Linked DNA regions of Caenorhabditis elegans. The protein of the gene in region 1 interacts with the protein of each later gene in a pairwise test. Each region holds a gene or a part of one and is shown on either strand. Other genes may lie near its edges.

Region 1 (7,377 bases):
TCTCACAACATATATTCTTTCAGTGCAAAGATGAGTGTGCTCGAGGACAAAAGCAAACTCGTCGGGTGCACTGTATAAGCACTTCTGGTAAACGAGCAGCTCCACGAATGTGTGAATTGGCTCGTGCACCAACTTCGATCAGAGAGTGCGATACATCAAATTGTCCATATGAGTGGGTGCCAGGAGATTGGCAAACGGTGTTGTTTTCTAGAACTAAGTGAATATATAAATTGATATGTTTAGTGTTCAAAGTCATGTGGAGAAGGAGTACAGACACGAGAAGTCAGATGTCGTAGAAAGATTAATTTTAACTCAACCATTCCAATTATATTTATGCTCGAAGATGAACCAGCTGTACCAAAAGAGAAATGTGAACTTTTCCCAAAACCAAATGAATCTCAAACGTGCGAACTTAACCCATGCGATTCGGAATTCAAATGGAGTTTCGGACCATGGGGTGAATGCTCGAAAAATTGCGGTCAAGGTATTCGACGTCGACGTGTCAAGTGTGTGGCCAATGATGGTCGTCGAGTTGAACGAGTCAAGTGTACCACAAAGAAACCACGTCGAACTCAATATTGTTTTGAAAGAAATTGTAAGTTTTAAATTGACTCGAACATAGAATATTGTAAACTTTTCAGGCCTTCCGTCAACTTGTCAGGAGCTTAAATCTCAGAATGTTAAGGCTAAAGATGGAAATTACACTATTCTTCTTGACGGATTCACTATTGAAATTTATTGTCATCGAATGAATTCAACCATTCCTAAAGCTTATTTGAACGTTAATCCAAGAACCAATTTTGCAGAGGTTTATGGAAAAAAGTTAGTTTATTTCAGTAGATTTACAAATTTCTGTAATTGCGATTCCAGATTAATATACCCTCATACTTGCCCATTTAATGGTGATCGTAATGATTCATGCCATTGTTCAGAAGACGGCGATGCAAGTGCTGGATTGACGAGATTCAATAAAGTTCGAATAGATTTGTTGAATAGAAAGTTCCATCGTAAGTAATTTATACTGTACTTGAATTTATATGATCTGATTAATCTGAATTATTTATCAACAATTTAATACCCGTATACAGAAATTGAAACTTTCAGTGGCGGATTATACATTTGCAAAACGAGAATATGGTGTTCATGTGCCATATGGTACTGCCGGTGATTGCTACAGTATGAAAGATTGTCCACAGGGAATATTCTCAATTGATTTAAAATCTGCTGGTCTGAAATTAGTTGACGATCTGAATTGGGAGGATCAAGGTCATCGAACATCCTCTCGAATCGATCGTTTTTATGTGAGTTTTTGAAAACCTTAATTTGTTCAAAATCTATTCTATTTTAAGAACAATGCAAAAGTTATTGGTCACTGTGGTGGTTTTTGTGGAAAATGCTCTCCTGAGCGGTACAAAGGACTAATCTTTGAAGTTAATACAAAATTATTAAATCATGTGAAAAATGGTGGACACATTGATGATGAATTGGATGATGATGGTTTCTCTGGTGACATGGATTAATTTTTTCGATACCTAAAAGTGTCAAAATCTCGTATGAATCTCTACTTCTCTGGTCTCTTATTTCAAGTTTTTGATTCTTTTCTTTTTTTTAGTTTTTAATAGCATTACTTCGAATTTATTGTCATTCCCTCAATCACCTAACACTAGGTTTTCTACATAGTATGTTCCTTGAAAATGTTTCATGATCAAAGGTTACGGTACTTTTGACTGCGCCTTTTTTTCTAATCAAATATTGAAATTCGCTGAATTGTGAGATATATGGGGGCAATTTAGACATTCTTGAACAAAGTTTCTGAACAAAAAAGAAGCGGAAACTGTTTAAAATTTCTCGATATGTATATCCATCAATTTTGCGAATCGCTGAAGTTTGATTTTCCTGATCGATGTTTGCTCCTGTCCTAACTTCGCTAAGTAATTTAGTCTTATCGCAGGAGAATCTTTTTTGTTTTTATTTTTTAATTTGTTCAGTTCAATTACATACTCATTATAGCCTGAGCTTTAAATCTTTCCTTATTTCCAGTTGTTTTCTTTTTTTGCTTTCCTTGTTTTCTATGTTTCAAAAATCCTTGTTTTCCTATTATACTGCCTTTCCTTTTTTCACTTTTCCAACCCACCCGCTGCTTTCCTTCTTCCAGTTAATCTTTTTTTATTAATTGTTTTTTTTAGATATTCTAATTTTCAGCCAGCTTCTTCCTGCCGTTCCTTTCTTTTCTCTTTTTTTCTCTATTCCACTTTACCCACAAGTTTTTCATAGCACTGCATAATATTTATTAAACTTTAGTCAATTCAAATATTTTATTAAAATAGAGTAATAGAGCCTCGCCTTCTTCTGAACGTTATAATAAAAATATAAAATTCAATCGTGAAGTTTACGCTGAAAGAAAACATACAAAAATTAGAATTACTCGTGAAGCTTACTCGAATAACTTTTGGAAATATTCCAAACCATCCGAAAAATATGACTCCGACGAGAAGAACTGAGAAAGCAATCAAAGAAATTCCCCCAATAAGATCACTGAAAAAATACGATTTCCAGAGCATAGCTCACAGCTGCGAAGAATTTGAACTCACAGAGCCATTCCATAACAAATTGGACCATTTTCCCAGCTGCAGATGAACCAAATTCGGTTTCCGTTGTGAGTATGACTATTCGTCATTTTGATATTATAGCAATTTATGATTTTAAAATGTAAAAATGAAGTTTATTCACGCGTCAATTCCAAAAGTGCAACAATAACAACGAAAAAATGTTACAATATATCCAACAAAGTATTCAATGTGTAACGATATTTTAACAAAAAATTAAATTCCAAAACGTCCGTTGAATCCAGAATGACATCCGAATTCGGCATATGGATTTGATTCGGTTGATTGTGCTGGACGAGCAGGTGGCGGTGGCGCAGATGGCTGCTGAGGGATGGGCCCAAGATTATCCGATCTGGCAGGTGGATTCTGAGCAGAAAATCTAACTTTTTGTCCTCCGCGGCGATCTCGTTTTCGCCCTCTGTTCGAATCGAATCCTCTTGACATTTGACTAGCTGGTTGGGTATCTGAAAATTACTAGAATTTGAAAGTAAATTTCAATTATATCTTACATGTGGTGCGTTTAAATTCTTTCTCCGCTTCATCATCACTGAACTCCACGTCACTACCGATGCCAACCTGAGCCATCGTTTCACCAGCTTTTGCAACAGCTTCTTGATGATCAATGCGACGATTTAGGGATTTAATAGCATCCCTATTTGCTGCAGCAAGATTAAGTCCTTTGAATGGAGTTTTGGAAAATTGTTCTTCTGTAGGAGCATAATATACTTTCATGTCAATGGGTATCATCGATGCCTATAAAACTTCTGTTATATATTTTATTTGTCTACTAAAAGCTTCACCTCTTCACAAGAATTGAATCGAATAACGTATTGTGGATTTTTGACTTGTCCAAAAATGTCATAAATTTGTCCCAACGCATTTCCTTTTTGATCGAAAAGAAATGAATCGAAGTCGAGAACTTCTGTGCATGTTGAAATGATAACAACTGAAATACCAATTCAATTAACATTTTATATAAGGTTGACATTTTTGACAATTTACCTTGACAATCCACGACTTTGCTTACAAAACCAAATTCCAGCAATTGTCCTTTACATTCAATACTGAGATTCTCGAGTGGTGGCATATCATCATACTCGTGAACATTACGCTAGAAATCTAATCATTCGAAAAAACATTTCAAAATAATGAAACCTTACCGTTTTTTGTGACTTTTTTGGCTTCCGCTGCTTTTTTCCATTTTCATCCGGGTACTCTGACTTGTGTGTCTTCTCAATAATCTTTGCGGAAAACTTTACTAGCCTGTCAAACTCTTCATCAGAATCAAGTGCACCGGCTCGTAAATCGTTGATATTTTCGAAATCGCTATCATCTCCAGAAAACTCAAATTCACTTTCAGTGTCGCATCCGAAGCTTTTCAATGATGGAGCCTGGCGAATTTCAGTAGGATTCACAACGGTGATAGGATCAACAAGATCCAAAAGTTGATCGACGATTCCATCTTCTGTCTTCATTCCAATTTTTGCGGGAAGTGTTGGTCGAGCACAGAAAGCAAGTGGCACAGGATTTCGATCGATAGTCTAAAATATGGAATATTTTTGGAATTTAAAAGGAAAACATACAATTGAATCATCCAGATTTTCGACTTTAATTGTTTCTTCCTCCATTCTTGATAATATTTTTGCAATGAGTGTAAATAAAAGAATTAACCTAAAAACGAAATAAATTTTTTAATTGAAAAAATTTTTGACGCGAAATCGGAGTGTCGTTTGTTAGTTTGTCATTGGAGCATGTTTGCATTTCACTGATTTCTCTCATTTTTTTTTTTGAAAACATTAAAAAATATATTCTAAATATCATTTTGGCATCTTTAAGTGGAAAATTATGTCGGAGGAAACAATCGAAAAATTTGAAGATAATGTGGAGCATCAAAATCAAGACCAACGTGAGTTTTCCGTTGCATCAGTATGTATTGAATTATAATATTCCAGCAGTACCAGAGGGAATGTCGAAAAAGCAACTGCGACGTCAAAAATACAAGGTGAAATGGGAAGAAAAGAAGTTAGTCAAACGTGCAGCGGAAAGAATTCGAAAAAAGGAAAAACGAGCAGCGCTGAAAGAATCGGGAGATCTTTCAAAGTTGAGGAAACGAAAAGATTTCAGAACAATGGCTCAGTCTAATAGCAAGGTAATATACGATTCCAGTAATTTGTTTAACATTAACTTTTGAACATTCATACAGTAAAAATGTTTTCAACTGGTAAAATCTGACAATTTCCTTAGACTAAAACAACTTTTTAGCAACGAATTGCTTTGGACATGTCATTTGACGATTTGATGATTGAAAAGGATCAAAAACGTACAGTTCAGCAAATCGGATGGTGTTATACTGCGAACAGACACAGTCCTGATCCATTTCAATTTCATGTTGTGGGGTTCGATGGACCATCGAGAAAAGTAATTTTGTTTTCGCACAACAAGTGTTTTAATTGGTTTTGTTGAGATTTATGATGGTAATGAGCACAACCTGAATCAAGACATCCATCTTCACCAAGAAAAATTGGAAAATTTATTTAAACCAGAGGAAATAGTTTATTTGACTTCTGAATCTGAAAATGTCCTGAGCGATCTTGATGATACGAAAGTGTATGTAATTGGAGGAATTGTGGATCATAATTCTCAAAAAGGATTGTGCTATCGAATCGCTCAAGAAAAAGGATTTGGTCATGCAAAATTGCCTTTAGATGAACATCTTCTCATGAAATCTCGACGGGTAATCGGTTTCCATATTTTTGTCCCATAATATTCTTCTGATTTCAGGTACTCACTATCAATCAAGTCTATGAAATTCTGGTTCATTACTCTGTTCACAAAAACTGGAAAGATGCTCTTCTTTCAATTATTCCAGAACGGAAGAATGCTCAATTGAAAGAGGAAGTTGTGGAAGAAAAGCCAGAAAGCCTAGAAGAAATTGGAAAATTAGACACAGAATCCACCGATACTGCCACGGGCTCTCCTAAAATAAATTAATCATTTTCATATTTTAAAATTACACCCAAATGTTGTTATTATTTGTTAACCATTTTCGTTATTTTTTATTGCTTATGAATTTTTCAAAATCAATTCGGATAATATATTGACTACACAACCAGCAATTATAGAACAATTTCGCTCTTTTTGAATGGCATGATTCCCGCCCAATCCGGATTTCAATCTCGTTTTCCATACATTTTCAAAGGCTTGGCAGATTGATGTTCCGTTCCGTCGGTTTTTCACTTTTTCATATTTTTAGATTGCTTCAAGTAAATATTTGTTTTGAGAGAAGGAGTTCAACTTTCAGGATTTTTTTTATTTTTTATATTGTAATTTCACAAGATTTTGGCATGCTTTTTTAAAGGCACACGGATTTGTTCAGATGGGTCTCGGGGCGCAAAAAAATTTATGGTAGTTTTTTTGCAACTGCTTTCATGGTAATTTTGCTTACATTTTTCAATAAAATTCCTTTTTAGCGAAGTTTATCTGTTTTTAAATTAACTTTTCTCTTTTTTCAGACCAACAAACAAGAAATACTCACATTCTTAATTAAATTAGAATTCAGCTGTAATTTTAAAAAAGTACTACAACAAACTTTTTGCGCTCCGAGATCCATCAGAATAAATCCGTGCGTCTTTAAAAACGTATGACAAACTCTTGCGAAATTGCGATATATTTTTTCCAATATTTTACGCTGATAATTTAAAGGCGCACGCTATTTTGCTGAGTTGGTCTCGCCAAGATATCCGTTATAGACGGAAAGCAAATTTTTACAAAATGGAGTTTAAGAAGTCTCTCATTCTAATACAAAAAAAGGACAAGATTCACAATGCAATATCGGGGTGACGTGTATAAAAATTGAATTTACAGTTTCACTGTACATATACATACAGAGGATCATTTTTCCAGTTTTTATTTCCAGAACATGCGGGCGATTTAACTTTATAGAATGCATGACGTCACTCCTTTTAGAAGAAAACTTTTGGGGCATTTTTAATGAAGAATTGATACAAGTTGTTTTTTTAATTATTTACAGACATCATAGGGCGTAACTTACAAAAAAACAACATTTTGTTTTATTAAAGAAAATATTTGTTCATGAGGTTACTGTCTATATACATTTCGATTATATATACTTTTTTTGAGATAAATGTATATTTGAATTAACAAAATTTTGAAAATTGCCCTTGTCCGCAATGACTCATGCTCCTTTCATCTTGATATTTCTTAATCAATCAGCAGAAAAAATTACACAATTTTTTTTGAATGTCACGGATTTCTTCGTTGTAGTGTGTAATAGACTCACCGACTGCAGAAATCGTTTCTAATTTTCCATTTAATCCATATCATCTCTTTTGCCTAAAAACTTGCACTTTGCATCTTTATCCTTTTTCTTCTCATCTCAATTGGGCGCCATTCCTTGAGTATCCGGTGCTCATGGCAGTGCCTGTGTGGGGCTCCCAGCTCCACGTCTCGGAGCCATTTGGTACCAGGAGCAGTAGGTGTAGTGACCGCTCATTTCTGTTACACACACTCAACTTTTTTCGGTTCTCTTTTTCATTTTCATTTATAATTTTAGCAACTTCTAAAAAAGTTGATCTAAATTGTTAGACTTACAGTAAAACTCGATAGTTAAAATTTACTTCTGAAGCTTCATCAAAACAATTTTCATTTCAGCTATAAGATTTACTAGTTTTCAGCGTCTCACCTTCTCAGTTGACTTTTGTACATTCGGAAATACCAATGAAAAACAAACTTGACGTCATACTTTTTAACA
Region 2 (5,981 bases), on another chromosome or scaffold:
TCCTTGCCCAAGTCGACGTCCTCCATGTTTGAAATCTTCTGAAAATGACTCAAAATGAAGATTCCCAAAAAAGGTTAAATGGGAAGAGATGGGAGTGATTTGTGTTCATCTTGGATGGTAGAAGAATCAATCGAAGAACCAACGGTCAATTGACGGCCTCTGTTCGGTTTTTGATAAAAACCGCCTTCAGAATCAGCAGTAGAGCGCGAAAATAAACCTCTTGGGTATCACCCTACAGTCACAGACTACATGTCTTCAATTCTTTTTCGGTTCTTTTGCGGGTGGGCGCGAAAAATATAGGTATGGTATGAGAGAAAGATGTCAAATCACTCAAAAATCAACAAATCAGATATCAAACCTATGTGTTTTACTCATGTTCACCAACTGATTCAACTTAAAATTATTTGGGTCATCGATTGATACTGGATGGTGATGATTTTTAGTGTAAACCTTTTTTTGAAGATCTTTATGAGTTATTTTTCTTTATTGATTTTTAATTTTTAATATTAGAAGACCGGAAAGACTTTATACGTATACGCACTTTAAGCTATGAGTGAAAATGTGCTAACCTTCAGAAAATATCTAATGTAATTGGCTACTGATCATCAACCTTCAGAAATTTATAATCTAATCAAGCGATCAACAATTCGGACAAAAAATCATTCAAATCTATCACATCGACTTTATTTTTGTTTTTATTTTTGCAGATAGTTTTCAGCGTGATATATCAAATATGTGATCAAGATCAACTAAAGTTCATCAACAACATTTGAAGATACTTGTTATGTTAAATCTACTAAAATGTCTGGAAATAATAAATAAAAGCATTTTATAGTTCAGATCTCATGTGAAAATAAACTGTTTTCACAGTCTTATCACTTCCTCAATTTATTTTTTGTCTAGTATCTTGAAAATGAATCAACGTCGATCAATCAGTATCAGTGAGTGACCTTACAAGACAGGTTTCACTTCAATTCTCATAAAAAGAAATACAAGTTGGGAGATCAGAAACTAGTACAATGTGAAAAAGTGTTGCGAGAAATCCTATTATGAAACCATCGAAACTATAAAGTTATTTTCAAAAGCAACGTATTCGCGTTTTCGTCCTCATTTTCAGTTTATATGGGAACTGTTCACAGTTTACAGTGCTGAAATAATCAAAAGTTATATTCAACGATTAAAACAAATTATTTCAAATTAAAGTCAAAAAGTTGCAACTTCTCAGTTTACAGCTATCAAAATTCTTGGAAGTCAACCATTAAGATTGTTGCTCTACATTTATTGAAAACCCCAAATTTTACAGAAAATTTTAAAGCCTATTTATGTGAAATGAAATGGTTTCTGAAATATTCGCCTGACAATTACAAAAATCTTTTGGGGAAAATTTTTGTTTAAAAATAGGAAGAGAAAAATAACTTCGTTTTTGTTTTGAAGGCTATATAGTAAATTGACATCTATGTATGTGAATTACTTCGTCTGACATTGAGAAAAGGTGAGTAAAATGGAATTGTAAATGAGTGATAAAAAGACAAGAATTCGATTTTTCTGTCCTGTCGGGTGTGGTCTGTTTTTCTAAAAGAATTCTAACAAATTTCAGGTTCCGTGAGCGCAATTCGCGAAATGCAATTTGCAACGGAAGGGAAGAACTGTTTATGATTCTGTTTTGGGATACAAGTGAAGAATCAGAAATGCCCTTGTTCCAGAGGCTAATATTATGACGTGGCACTCGAATATCAAACAATGATTAATTGTTCTTTTTGTCCTTTGATTTGAAGGTATTTCTTCGCTTTAAAAACATTTGATATGAATTTCAGATGAAATCAAGTGTGAATAAGTACAGTGCTCCACATCGCATCGTCAGATTTCTCGTAATTTGAATCGTTCGAGAGATATGATTTCTCGATATGCTTCCAATCCTGCGGCTTATGGCCCCAAAAAGTCTTCTGGTCGCCCACCACTTTTTTCTGATCGGGACAAGCGGAATATCGTTTGTCGAGCATCCAATTCAACAGTGACTTGCTCGAAAATAAAGAGCGAGATGAACCTGCCAGTGTATGTTGAGACCGTACGACGAGTTCTTTCGAAGTCCCAATTTATTAAAAGAAGAAAATTGAGAAAGGCTCCATGCGTCACCAAAAAACACCGCCAAAATCGTATCCAGTTTGCGGATGCGATTACAGATATGTGATGAGGCGCGGTTTGATACCGTTTATCCGTCGAAACAGGTCCAGAAAATACACTTACCAACAAGATGGAGCGCCTTGTCACCGCGCGCGTCGTACAATCAAGTGGATAAGTGACAGAGGGCTCCCTGTTCCCGACTCGCCTGCCTGCTCCCCGGACATAAACATAATTTAAAACGTTTGGGGATTCATGATGAGAAAGATTTACGATGGAAACAATAGCAATGTTAACGACCTCAAAAGAGCAATTCTTGACGCATGGCATAAAGTTGACCAAACTCTCCTGGACAATCTTTAACTTTTCATGGATTCACGCGTTTTTGATGTGATTAGTACAAGAGCTCATCCCGTGGATTATTAATCATCTCTTGTTCCTTATTTTTCTAAGTTTTCCTACTTTTCTACCACCTGGCCGTATCATTTTGTGGAGTTTTTTAAATAGTTTTTCATGAAAAAATGTTTTTTTTTCTTTTTTACGAACGCTTCGGGTATATTTCCATCACTTATCTCAAAGCTAGCCAGTACAACGAACATTTTCACATGAAACTATGTTTTGCTATCTTAACCCAGTTTTGAGTTATACCAAAATTTAGGGGTGGCCGTATCATTTTGTGGAGCACTGTATATAGATACGAACAAAAATTAATTTAAAAAAAAACATCAAGGAAAGTTTCATTAAACCGAATCATTGAATCGATGACTGCGAACTTTGAGTACTTGATGGTTCCTCCTCAATTCTAACAAATCGATTCCGTTGCTGGGTGTTGACGTATCTGGAAAAATATCTGATTAGCTTATATACAAGAAAAATTTTCAGAAAGAAATACTTTATTGCGCACGTTTTGTAGTGCTAAACTGATTTTTAAACGAAATTCTAAAATACCTTATGTCGAAATGCAGACCATCCTGGGTGCTGGAATCAATTGGACACAGCCATAATCCCCATCCAAACACTGATTGAAAATTATTATATTTCCCCATATTGTAGTCAGCTGCATTATCAAATCTTAGAAGAGCTGGTTTTGTTTGTTCGACAGTTGTCTCGTTCAATGAGATCAATTGATAATGGAATATGATAAGTTCACCGAGTGGATAGTAACCAAACACTCCGCCGACAATAAAACTGAACAAGTAGAACAAAAACTTTCCCAATTCATCGGTCCATTGTTGATTGATAAAATATCGAACAGCACCTTCTAGTGAAGTGAGCAAATACCAATAAACAAGAAAACTGGTGTAGATAATGTAGAGTAGAAAGTACTTGTAATTGACGTGTGTAACACACATGTTTATCCATGGACAGTGATGATCATACTTAATGCAACACTTCCCACATGAGCTACAATGTCGGGCACGATCCGGTTTGATATGTCCGCACTCGTAACAATACTTGAGCCTTCCCACTTGATCACATTCAGCGACGACTACTTTACAGTAAGTACACATCTCCTCCAAAATAGTATTTTGTTGTGCAAGCTGAAAACTTTGTTGGTGTATTATATAAAGTGTATTTAGCATCCATAAAATAAACAAATAATAATAAAAAACAAAACAATCAAGACAAGATTAAACCACTTATTTTGATTTTTTCACTTTACCTGTTCAGGTGTCGATTTCTCTACCACGTATCGATTTTTCTCCATCGGTGTGACTGCTTTCAATCTATCTTCAAGTTCTTTACTAGGTCGATATCTTTCTGGAACTCTGCCAACTCTCGTGAACAACGTTTTTGCAAGACTCCACATTGACATAACAAACAGAAATGATCCAACAATCAAATAAATGGTTGCTTGAATTGTTGACTGAACGTAATAACCAATTGTCACTGTCACGTACATATAAAGTCTGCAAAAGACCCAGTTAAATGATTCGCAAACAATCAAGAATGACTCACGACCACCAGAGCAAAATAAGTTGAATGAAAAGAAGTACATTGAGACATCTCGTCAAAATCCATCCAGTGATTTTATGTTTAGCGCGGTATTCTCGCACTGCTACGTAAATCTTTGAATACCATGACATTGGTTTTCACTTTTAAATTTCTTGTCTAAATCATATAAACTTTATTTGGTTCAAATCATGTTCAAAAGAACTTACCAAACGACTTCCAAATGCAGAAATGATTGAGAAATATTCAAAAATTGTAAAAAATGTACTGCTGGATTGCGTGAAGTTTTATTTCATTTACCGCAGGAGTAAAAAAATACCGTGGCATTTAGAAATAATGTTTTGTGAAAAAAATTTATGGGACTTTATTTGTTGCTGATTATCGAAGAAATTATTTGGAAGTTAGAAGTAAATTATTTCAAGCATTATTATTATTTATTGTGAAAAAAATGAGAAAATTGTGTCATATATACAGAGAACTGATGTCAAAGTTACGCATTCGATGTCTACTTTCTCTTGCAACACTGTCCATTTCCACATGGAGAATAGTTTTGCTGGCACGAGCAGGAGTTGACTGATTGTGTCTGGCATGGCATCTGGGCTGGTTGAGCAGCAGAACAGGATTGAGAGCATGATTGGGTGCAAGCTGGAGCACATTGTTGCATTGGTTGTTGCTGCTGAACGCATTGCTGTTGGCATGATTGCTGGCATTGTGGTTCACATTGTGCAGATTGGGAGACTGAAGCTTCCAGAATGATTGTGACAGCTTGTGGAGCAGCAGTAGTGGCAACTGGAGCTTGGCATGCAGATTGGCATTGCTGGCATTGTGGAGCAGATGGTTGCTGGCACTGTGGAGTACATTGTTGTTGGCACTGTTGAGTTTGTTGGCACGAAGTCTGACATTGTTGGCAAGCTGGTGCAGATTGCTGTTGACATTGTGGAGCACACTGTTGCTGACAAACTGGAGCAGCTTGTTGGCAGGTATTCTGGCACTGCTGGCACTGTGGAGCTGATGGTTGTTGGCATTGTGGAGCACACTGTTGTTGGCATTGTGGAACTGCTTGCTGGCAGGTGGTCTGGCATTGCTGGGTGCATTGCTGATTGCACTGTTGGGCTGGAACTTGTTGTTGAACACATTGTTGTTGGCATGATTGCTGGCATTGAGGAACACACTGAGCAGAGATTTCCATGTTAATCTTGATTATTTGTGGAGCGGCAGTAGTGGTTGGAGCACATTGTTGAACACATTGTTGCTGACATTGTGGCTGACATTGTTGAATTGGTTGAGTTTGAACACATTGCTGTTGGCACTGTTGTTGGCATTGTGGCACGCATTGAACTGCAGCTGGAGTCTGGACAACACAGGATTGTTCACAGGCTGGCATGCAGGATGGTTGACATTGAACTGGAGCTGGAGTAGTTGGAGTATAACAGGAAGAAGTCTGACAGCTTTGTTGGCATGTAGATTGACATTGACTAACAGATGGAGCAGATTGACATTGGTTCTGGCAAGACTGCTGACAAGCTGGGGCACATTGAGAAGCTTGAATTTGGTAGGTTTGTTGCTGAACTGGTTGGGCACATGAACAGGATTTCTGGACTGGAGCAGTGTTCTGACAGGAACAACTGTACTGTTGTGGTTGAGTATAGGTGGTTCGTTGGCAAGAGCAACTTGGTTGAACTCTTGGAGCACAGCCACAGGATTGGCGTTTATCGCGAATTGTTGTTGCCTGGAAATGATTTTTGTGAAATTTGACTGAAATCGTGGTCAATCGTGGTCGACTGAAATCGTGGAATATATAATCTTATGTCTGCAAGCAATGCTCAAGAAAAACAAATATTTGTTAAATTTGGGTACTTAGCCGATTTTTTTGGATCGCCGCTCAGCCCTGTTCAACAACTATTTAAAAT
Region 3 (6,418 bases), on another chromosome or scaffold:
CTAGATGTACTATTTTTCAATGACAAAAGCTCATGTCACTCTGTTTTTGTACGTCCACACTTTCTGAAATCTGATCATCTTTCAGTTAATTTTGTTTTAGAACTACCTTACTTCAAGGAAATCAATAGCACTTTATCGAAAACAACACTTGCTTATCGCAAATGCGATTTCATATCACTAAATGCTCATATGCATTCTTTTAACTGGGCAAAACAAACAAATTTTTTTCCAGTTTTGAATCTAAACTAAATCATTTTCTTAAGGTGTTTAATGAACTTATTGAAATGTATACACCTAAAATGATCCCTCAAAGCCGAAAACAAAAACTGTATTGCTGAAATACAAGCAATTCAAAAGAAAGCATCCGTTTTCCTCAGCTGACGAGATCAAAATGAAAGTTGATAAATATATCAAAAGATTACGAAAAAAGAATAGTAGATTTGAGAATAATATCATTTACAAATCTAAATCACTAGAATTATACCGTTTCATTCGAAACAAATTAACTTCCAAAACCTCTATATCACATTTAGTGATAAATCAAAGCCAAATCAGAGACCCCCCTGGTTTTGCTAACGAATTCATAAATACCTTCTGTCAAAGTTTCAGCCCCCCCATCACCCCACTTTCCCGCTCTACCTGCATCGCAACCTCTAGATACCAAAATTGACCTATCACCCTTTGCAATTGCTTACTTTATCAAAAAATTAAAATCTAAAGTAGGATTTTCCCTAGATAATATAAACTTCCTCATCATTAAGAAATGTTTTGACTCAATTACTGTCCCCCTTTCCTTAGTTTTCACCGAATCTCTCACATCCAAAACATTTCCGTCTTGCTGGAAAACTTCTATTGTTGTGCCATTGCATAAGAAAGGTAAAATTACGGACCCCACCAACTTTAGGCCTATCAGCCTAACACATCCCCTTTCCCGTCTATTTGAGCGCATAATACTCCATTCACTTATGAGAGATTTTGGTCATAAAATATCAAAATTTCAATATGGTTTTCTGAATAAAAGATCATGCCCGTTAGCTCTTATTGATGCCTTATCTACGTATCAAAAGTGCCTAGTGAAACCCAAATATTGATGTAATTCTCATAGATTTCCGCAAAGCTTTCGACACCGTGCCACATGAGCTACTTCTTCTAAAACTACATAATTTTGGTTTAAATGATAATCTTGTTGCATGGTTTTGAGCTTTTCTTTCTGACAGAATATTCAAAGTCAAGATAGGTGACTATATTTCACATAATACATTTTCCAATATATCAGGCGTACTCCAGGGTGCAGTAACGGGCCCATTCCTATTTCTTCTTTATATAAATGATCTTTTATCATCTTTTCCCCCAGATGTCTCGGTAGTTGCTTTCGCTGACGATCTTAAGATCTTCAGCGAAAACTCTGCTAGTCTCCAAAAATCTCTTACTATCATTACTGATTGGTATGAAAAATGGAAACTTGGACTAGCTGAAAATAAAACAGTAGTAATGCACCTGGGTAAACACAACCCTAATTCTTTGTACTATATTAATGAGCAGATTATAATGGAGTCAAAATGCACGAGAGACTTAGGTCTCATTGTAGACAAATTAATACCATGCCTGCAAAAAGGTGTAAAAACGGCCTGAGTGTAAGCAGTGTTTGGTGGATAGCTTGAACAGTATTAATGGTTGATTGTTGTCACATTTTGGAAAAAAATCAGTTTGCATTGTTAAAAAATCGATTTCTCTTTTCTTCGACTTAATGGACGATTTTTTTGTTGCAAAAAGACATCACGATAATTAGATAACATTAAAGCGTCGATTTACAAATAATGCATGCAGGTAGTATTTTTTGGCCGTCTGGAAAGGATTAGACATCATGGACGATTTTTCAGTTTTTCATAATTTTTTTAGAAACTTATATGGAATTTGTTGTATTTGAAAACATTTTCTACCATGGATGACAATTTGAAGTAAGGTTACTTTATTTTTTCTCAAATTTTTCAAATACCTTATAACTCGGGTTGTCTAATAAGAAAATCACAATTTTTAGGGTAATTTGTTGCAATGAAGTTCAATAAATTAATTTGGCACATTCGGACAAAAATTTTTTGGTATTGCTACAAAAATTATTTAATATTAGCTAATATTAACCGAGTTAGCCAAGTTAGCCGATCGGCGAATTCGGTTAAATCGGTTTTAAGCCGCCTACCCCTGTAGTTTTGGTCAGAGGAGCCTAATTACAGGCCGTGCAGCTGATAAGCTTCCGGTCTAGACATAATTGTTTACATTGACAGTTGACGGGGCCTAAGTAGCATAACAATTGTCTTAAAAACGAATAACTCAAATTCCACGTTTTTAAAATTTTAAATATCACCATATTCTACTTCATCATAATGATAACCAAAATCGTACTATTCCTGCTGTTGTGCCTCTCGGCCTGTAATGCCTATACCTATCGGTACGATTATTGCCGTATTGCGTGTTCTGAACTACGTCCAAAAGCTGAAAGACCAAAATGTGCGGAAACTTGTGATAAAGATGTGAGAAGTGATGGTTGGATTGCAAACTGCGCTGGAGCAAGAAGTCCGGAATCGTGTTGGGTAAAAAAAAGTTGTACCGACTGCTTGGTGAATGGCAGAAACGTTTATAATACATGATTGTAATTGTTTCTGAGAATAAATTTTCATAATTTGCATTAATATTGACACTTTTTCGACAGAGTCAAAAAATTATCCATTCCAGAAGTTTCTCGAGCTTATGAGACCTGTTCAATGAGCAGAAAGAAAAAAATTGAAGGAAAATTTGAATTCCGGTTGAAAACCCAAACTACTCAGCCATTTTATTAAAAATCATTCAAAAGTTTAAAAAAATTAATCCTTCTTCTCTGATTTCTCATCCAAATCCGCCTCATACTCCAGGAATTTTCTGAAAAAAACGTATTTTTTTCAATTTTTCAAAATCCCTAAAAACATACTTTCGAATTTCGTCTTTCAAATCATCATCCACGTCATAATATCCACGATATCTTCCAGCTGAATAGGTAAATAGACGAATCACTAGGAAAATGCCAATTGTGTACATTATCACAATCACGATTTGGAATAAATTCAACAATTCACTCAGAGTTGGCTCTTCTTTTGATGTGAAATCACGCATTGAGATTCTGAAGTTTGGAAATGGGTTGGAAGGGCTACAAACTACAAACTACACACTAGAAACTACAAACTACAATTTCCTTAACACGTATTTCACTGATATCGGTATTGTGAAATTAGGTGAGAAATTTGAAATTTTGGAAAAGCCTCAATATGTCTCGAATATGACTTTCAAGCTACAAAATTCAAACTACAAACTACATACTACAGACTACAAACTACAAACTACTATTTCCCTAACACGTATTGCACTAGTATTGGTTTAGAGAAATTAGGTAAGAAATTTGAAATTTTGGAAAATTGCCAATACGTCTCGAACATCACTTGCAGGCTACAAACTACAAACTACAAACTACAAACTATAAACTACAAACTACAACTTCCATAAGACTTATTGTACTGATATCGGTATTGCGAAATTAGGTGAGAATTTTGAAACTTTGGAAAATTGCTAATATGTTTCTAATATGACTTGCAAGTTACAAACTACAAAAAACAGAGTGCACACTACAAACTACAAGCTACAAACTACAAACTACAAACTACAAACTAACTACAGACTACAACTTTTTGAGTTGCAACCCCAAATTGTGGTTTGTAGTCTCAGCAAGCTTGTTCCTCCCAGTTGTAGTTTGTAGTTTGTACTTTGTAGTTTGCATTTTGTAGTTTGCATTTTGTAGTTTGTAGTTTGTAGTTTGTAGTTTGTAGTTTGTAGTTTGTAGTCAAACTCACATGAACCGAGTTGTAACGAATCCCAAAATCAACATAACACGACACCCATAAACAATAATTGCCACTGGATTATCCTGAAATATAATTATGTTGGGTGAGGCTCAGACTACAAACTACAATTCTGCGCTCAGCCTCAACCAACATTGTAGTTTGTAGTCTGAGCTTCAATCTCGGGGTTTTACGGTTTTTTTGAGTGTAAATGAGGAAATTTTGGATTTTTTTTTTGGTAATTATGGAAATCGTAGGCTTTTTTATTGATTTTTTTGGGAAAACAGCTTCAAAATTTCAGATTAAGAAAAAAAATTTCCTAAAATTTAAGTCAAAAATTTCAGATTTTCTCAAATTTTCCGCCAAATATACTCACACAAATCGCCAAAACTGCGGAAATTGAAGTAACCAGTGAAATTCCGTGAAAAATCGCCCAAAATTGGTCAAAAGTGTCGTGGAACTGCAGGAAAATTGGGGATTTTGAGGGGAACTTTCAGGAGAAAAACTTACGAAAATGAGGAAAAGCTCTAAGCCAAATGAGAATAGAGTTAGGGTAAAGTCAAGGATCTGGAAAATATTTGAAATTCAAAAAAAAAAGTGAAAAAAACGTTTTGAAATTTTTGAAAAAAAAAAAAATTTTCCCAAAATTTTCAAAAAATTTTTTAATTCCAAAATTCCAAAAATTATCCCAGAACACTTCCAAAAATTACCATAAAAATGGCAAAAGCCAAAACGACATGAGAACAGCAGAATACAGTGTAGTTTGCATCGTTCGGTGAGCCCAACTCCATCAGAAAACGCATATTTGATTGAAAAACTATTTATTAGTATAAAGTGACCAATGTTTTGAAAAATAAATGAAAATGATTACAATTTGAAAGAGTTGTTGGATTAATAATATTAAAAGCACACGTAGGGAGTTTAAAATTGAAGAAAAAAAAATTATCACGTTAAAAAATATAGAATTTTAAGACTTCTTCGGTCCATAATTATTATCACTTAAAATTTGCCGAGTTAAATTATTAATATGTCGAAAACGATCGGGTCCAAGATGAATTCCACCGTACCAACGTGAAACGACGACCTGAAAGAAGAAATTGGTTGAGGCTCAGAGACTACAAACTACAAAATTGGAAAATTTTCAGTTTTTTAAGCATTAAGATTTTTAATATGCAAAAATCAATCTTTTTTCTTACAAAAACATTTTTTCTAATGAATTTGAACAATCTTGCTATTTTCGACTACAAGTGGTGTCAGGCTGTCTCATTGCGGTTTGATCTACGAAAAATGCGGGGATATTTTTCCAGAAAAATTGTGACGTCAGCACGCTCTTAACCATACGAAATGAGATGAGATGTCTGCGTCTCTTCTCCCGCATTTTTCGAAGATCAAAACGAAATGGGACTTTCTGACTCCACGTGCGACTACAAACTACAAAAATATATTCTGGAAAAAGGCTCAGGACCACTACAAACTATAGTTTCTTGACTACAAACTACAAACCAAAAAAAAACAAATTTTTTTTGAGAAATTTTGGAATTTCGGTGAGGTTCAGATACTACAAACTACAAAAAGCTGAATTTTATCGGTTTTTGAGTATTTTTTGAACTAGAATTTGAATTTTTTTAAAAACCCATAAAAAAATTCGGATTTCACAATTTTTGATTTAAAAAATTTGTAGAAAATTCTATTTTTACAGGAAAAAACCGTTAAAATAACTATGGAAATTTGGGTGAGGCTCAGAGACTACAAACTACAAACCCCGGCTCAGCCTCACCAAAAATGGAATTTCAGGGTGTGTTTGAAACTAAAATTCGAATTTTTTCGAGTTTCAAATTGAAAATAATTACGAAACTCAGAAAAATTAATAAATTTTACTTTTTTGCGAAAAAAAAACTAGTAGAAAATCCTATTTTACCGCTAAAATCCGTTGAAAAGCTACGAAAAATGGGTGAGGCTGAGAGACTACAAACTACAAAATGCTCCGAGCCTCACTCAAAACTTGATTTTAGGGTGTTTTTCAAAATAAAATTCGAATTTTTTGAGTTACACATTGAAAATGTTCACGAAACGCAAAAAATAACGAATTTCACTATATTTTTACAGAAAAAATCTGTTAAAAAACTAAAAAAAAATGGTGAGGCTAAGAGACTACAAACTACAAAAAGCTGAATTTTATCGGTTTTTGAGTGTTTTTTGAACTAAAATTCGAATTTTTTTAAAAAGAAACCCAAAAAAATAACAAGATTTCTCAATATTTTTGGAAAAACCAGTGGAAAAGTTTATTTTTACAGGAAAAAACCGTTAAAATAACTATGGAAATTTGGGTGAGGCTCAGAGACTACAAACTACAAACCCCGGCTCAGCCTCACCAAAAACGGAATTTCAGGGTGTGTTTGAAACTAAAATTCGAATTTTTTCGAGTTTCAAATTGAAAATGTTCAAGAAACGCAAAAAAATTAACGAATTTCACTTTTTTACAAAAAAACTAATAGAAAATTCAAAAATTGGGTGAGACTCAGAGACTACAAACTACAAAACCCCCTGAGCCTCAC

What was found. Proteins that work in one complex are often made in the same cells at the same time.
Region 2: the proteins of spe-29 (region 1) and spe-10 interact in a two-hybrid assay, tested with the Caenorhabditis elegans proteins (one study listed by BioGRID).
Region 3: the proteins of spe-29 (region 1) and spe-38 interact in a two-hybrid assay, tested with the Caenorhabditis elegans proteins (one study listed by BioGRID).

What each region holds. Positions count from the first base shown.
Region 1 is NC_003282.8:9,929,210-9,936,586, reverse strand, and holds spe-29 (uncharacterized protein), read right to left. Parts: upstream 2,708-7,377; 5' UTR 2,678-2,707; coding exon 2,592-2,677; intron 2,536-2,591; coding exon 2,439-2,535; intron 2,395-2,438; coding exon 2,377-2,394; 3' UTR 2,265-2,376; downstream 1-2,264. Other genes in the region: gon-1 (Peptidase M12B domain-containing protein), read left to right, coding at 24-197, 244-595, 642-822, 871-1,007, 1,105-1,301, 1,350-1,520; F25H8.2 (H/ACA ribonucleoprotein complex non-core subunit NAF1), read right to left, coding at 2,823-3,070, 3,116-3,359, 3,407-3,552, 3,609-3,717, 3,767-4,147, 4,190-4,234; trmt-10A (tRNA (guanine(9)-N(1))-methyltransferase), read left to right, coding at 4,452-4,512, 4,559-4,755, 4,869-5,024, 5,071-5,340, 5,388-5,597.
Region 2 is NC_003283.11:10,382,572-10,388,552, reverse strand, and holds spe-10 (Palmitoyltransferase spe-10), read right to left. Parts: upstream 4,304-5,981; 5' UTR 4,281-4,303; intron 4,231-4,280; 5' UTR 4,206-4,230; coding exon 4,078-4,205; intron 4,029-4,077; coding exon 3,782-4,028; intron 3,660-3,781; coding exon 3,067-3,659; intron 2,957-3,066; coding exon 2,869-2,956; 3' UTR 2,813-2,868; downstream 1-2,812. Other genes in the region: Aminopeptidase-like protein AC3.5, read right to left, coding at 1-26; pqn-2 (Prion-like-(Q/N-rich)-domain-bearing protein), read right to left, coding at 4,577-5,800. UniProt on the Caenorhabditis elegans protein: Involved in spermatogenesis, specifically in the morphogenesis of fibrous body-membranous organelles (FB-MO), which are Golgi-derived organelles used for transporting sperm-specific components, in spermatocytes and in their localization into budding spermatids.
Region 3 is NC_003279.8:10,961,660-10,968,077, forward strand, and holds spe-38 (uncharacterized protein), read right to left. Parts: upstream 4,724-6,418; 5' UTR 4,655-4,723; coding exon 4,574-4,654; intron 4,431-4,573; coding exon 4,374-4,430; intron 4,324-4,373; coding exon 4,240-4,323; intron 3,950-4,239; coding exon 3,876-3,949; intron 3,152-3,875; coding exon 2,963-3,151; intron 2,914-2,962; coding exon 2,859-2,913; 3' UTR 2,813-2,858; downstream 1-2,812. Other genes in the region: impt-1 (Protein IMPACT homolog), read right to left, coding at 4,831-4,947.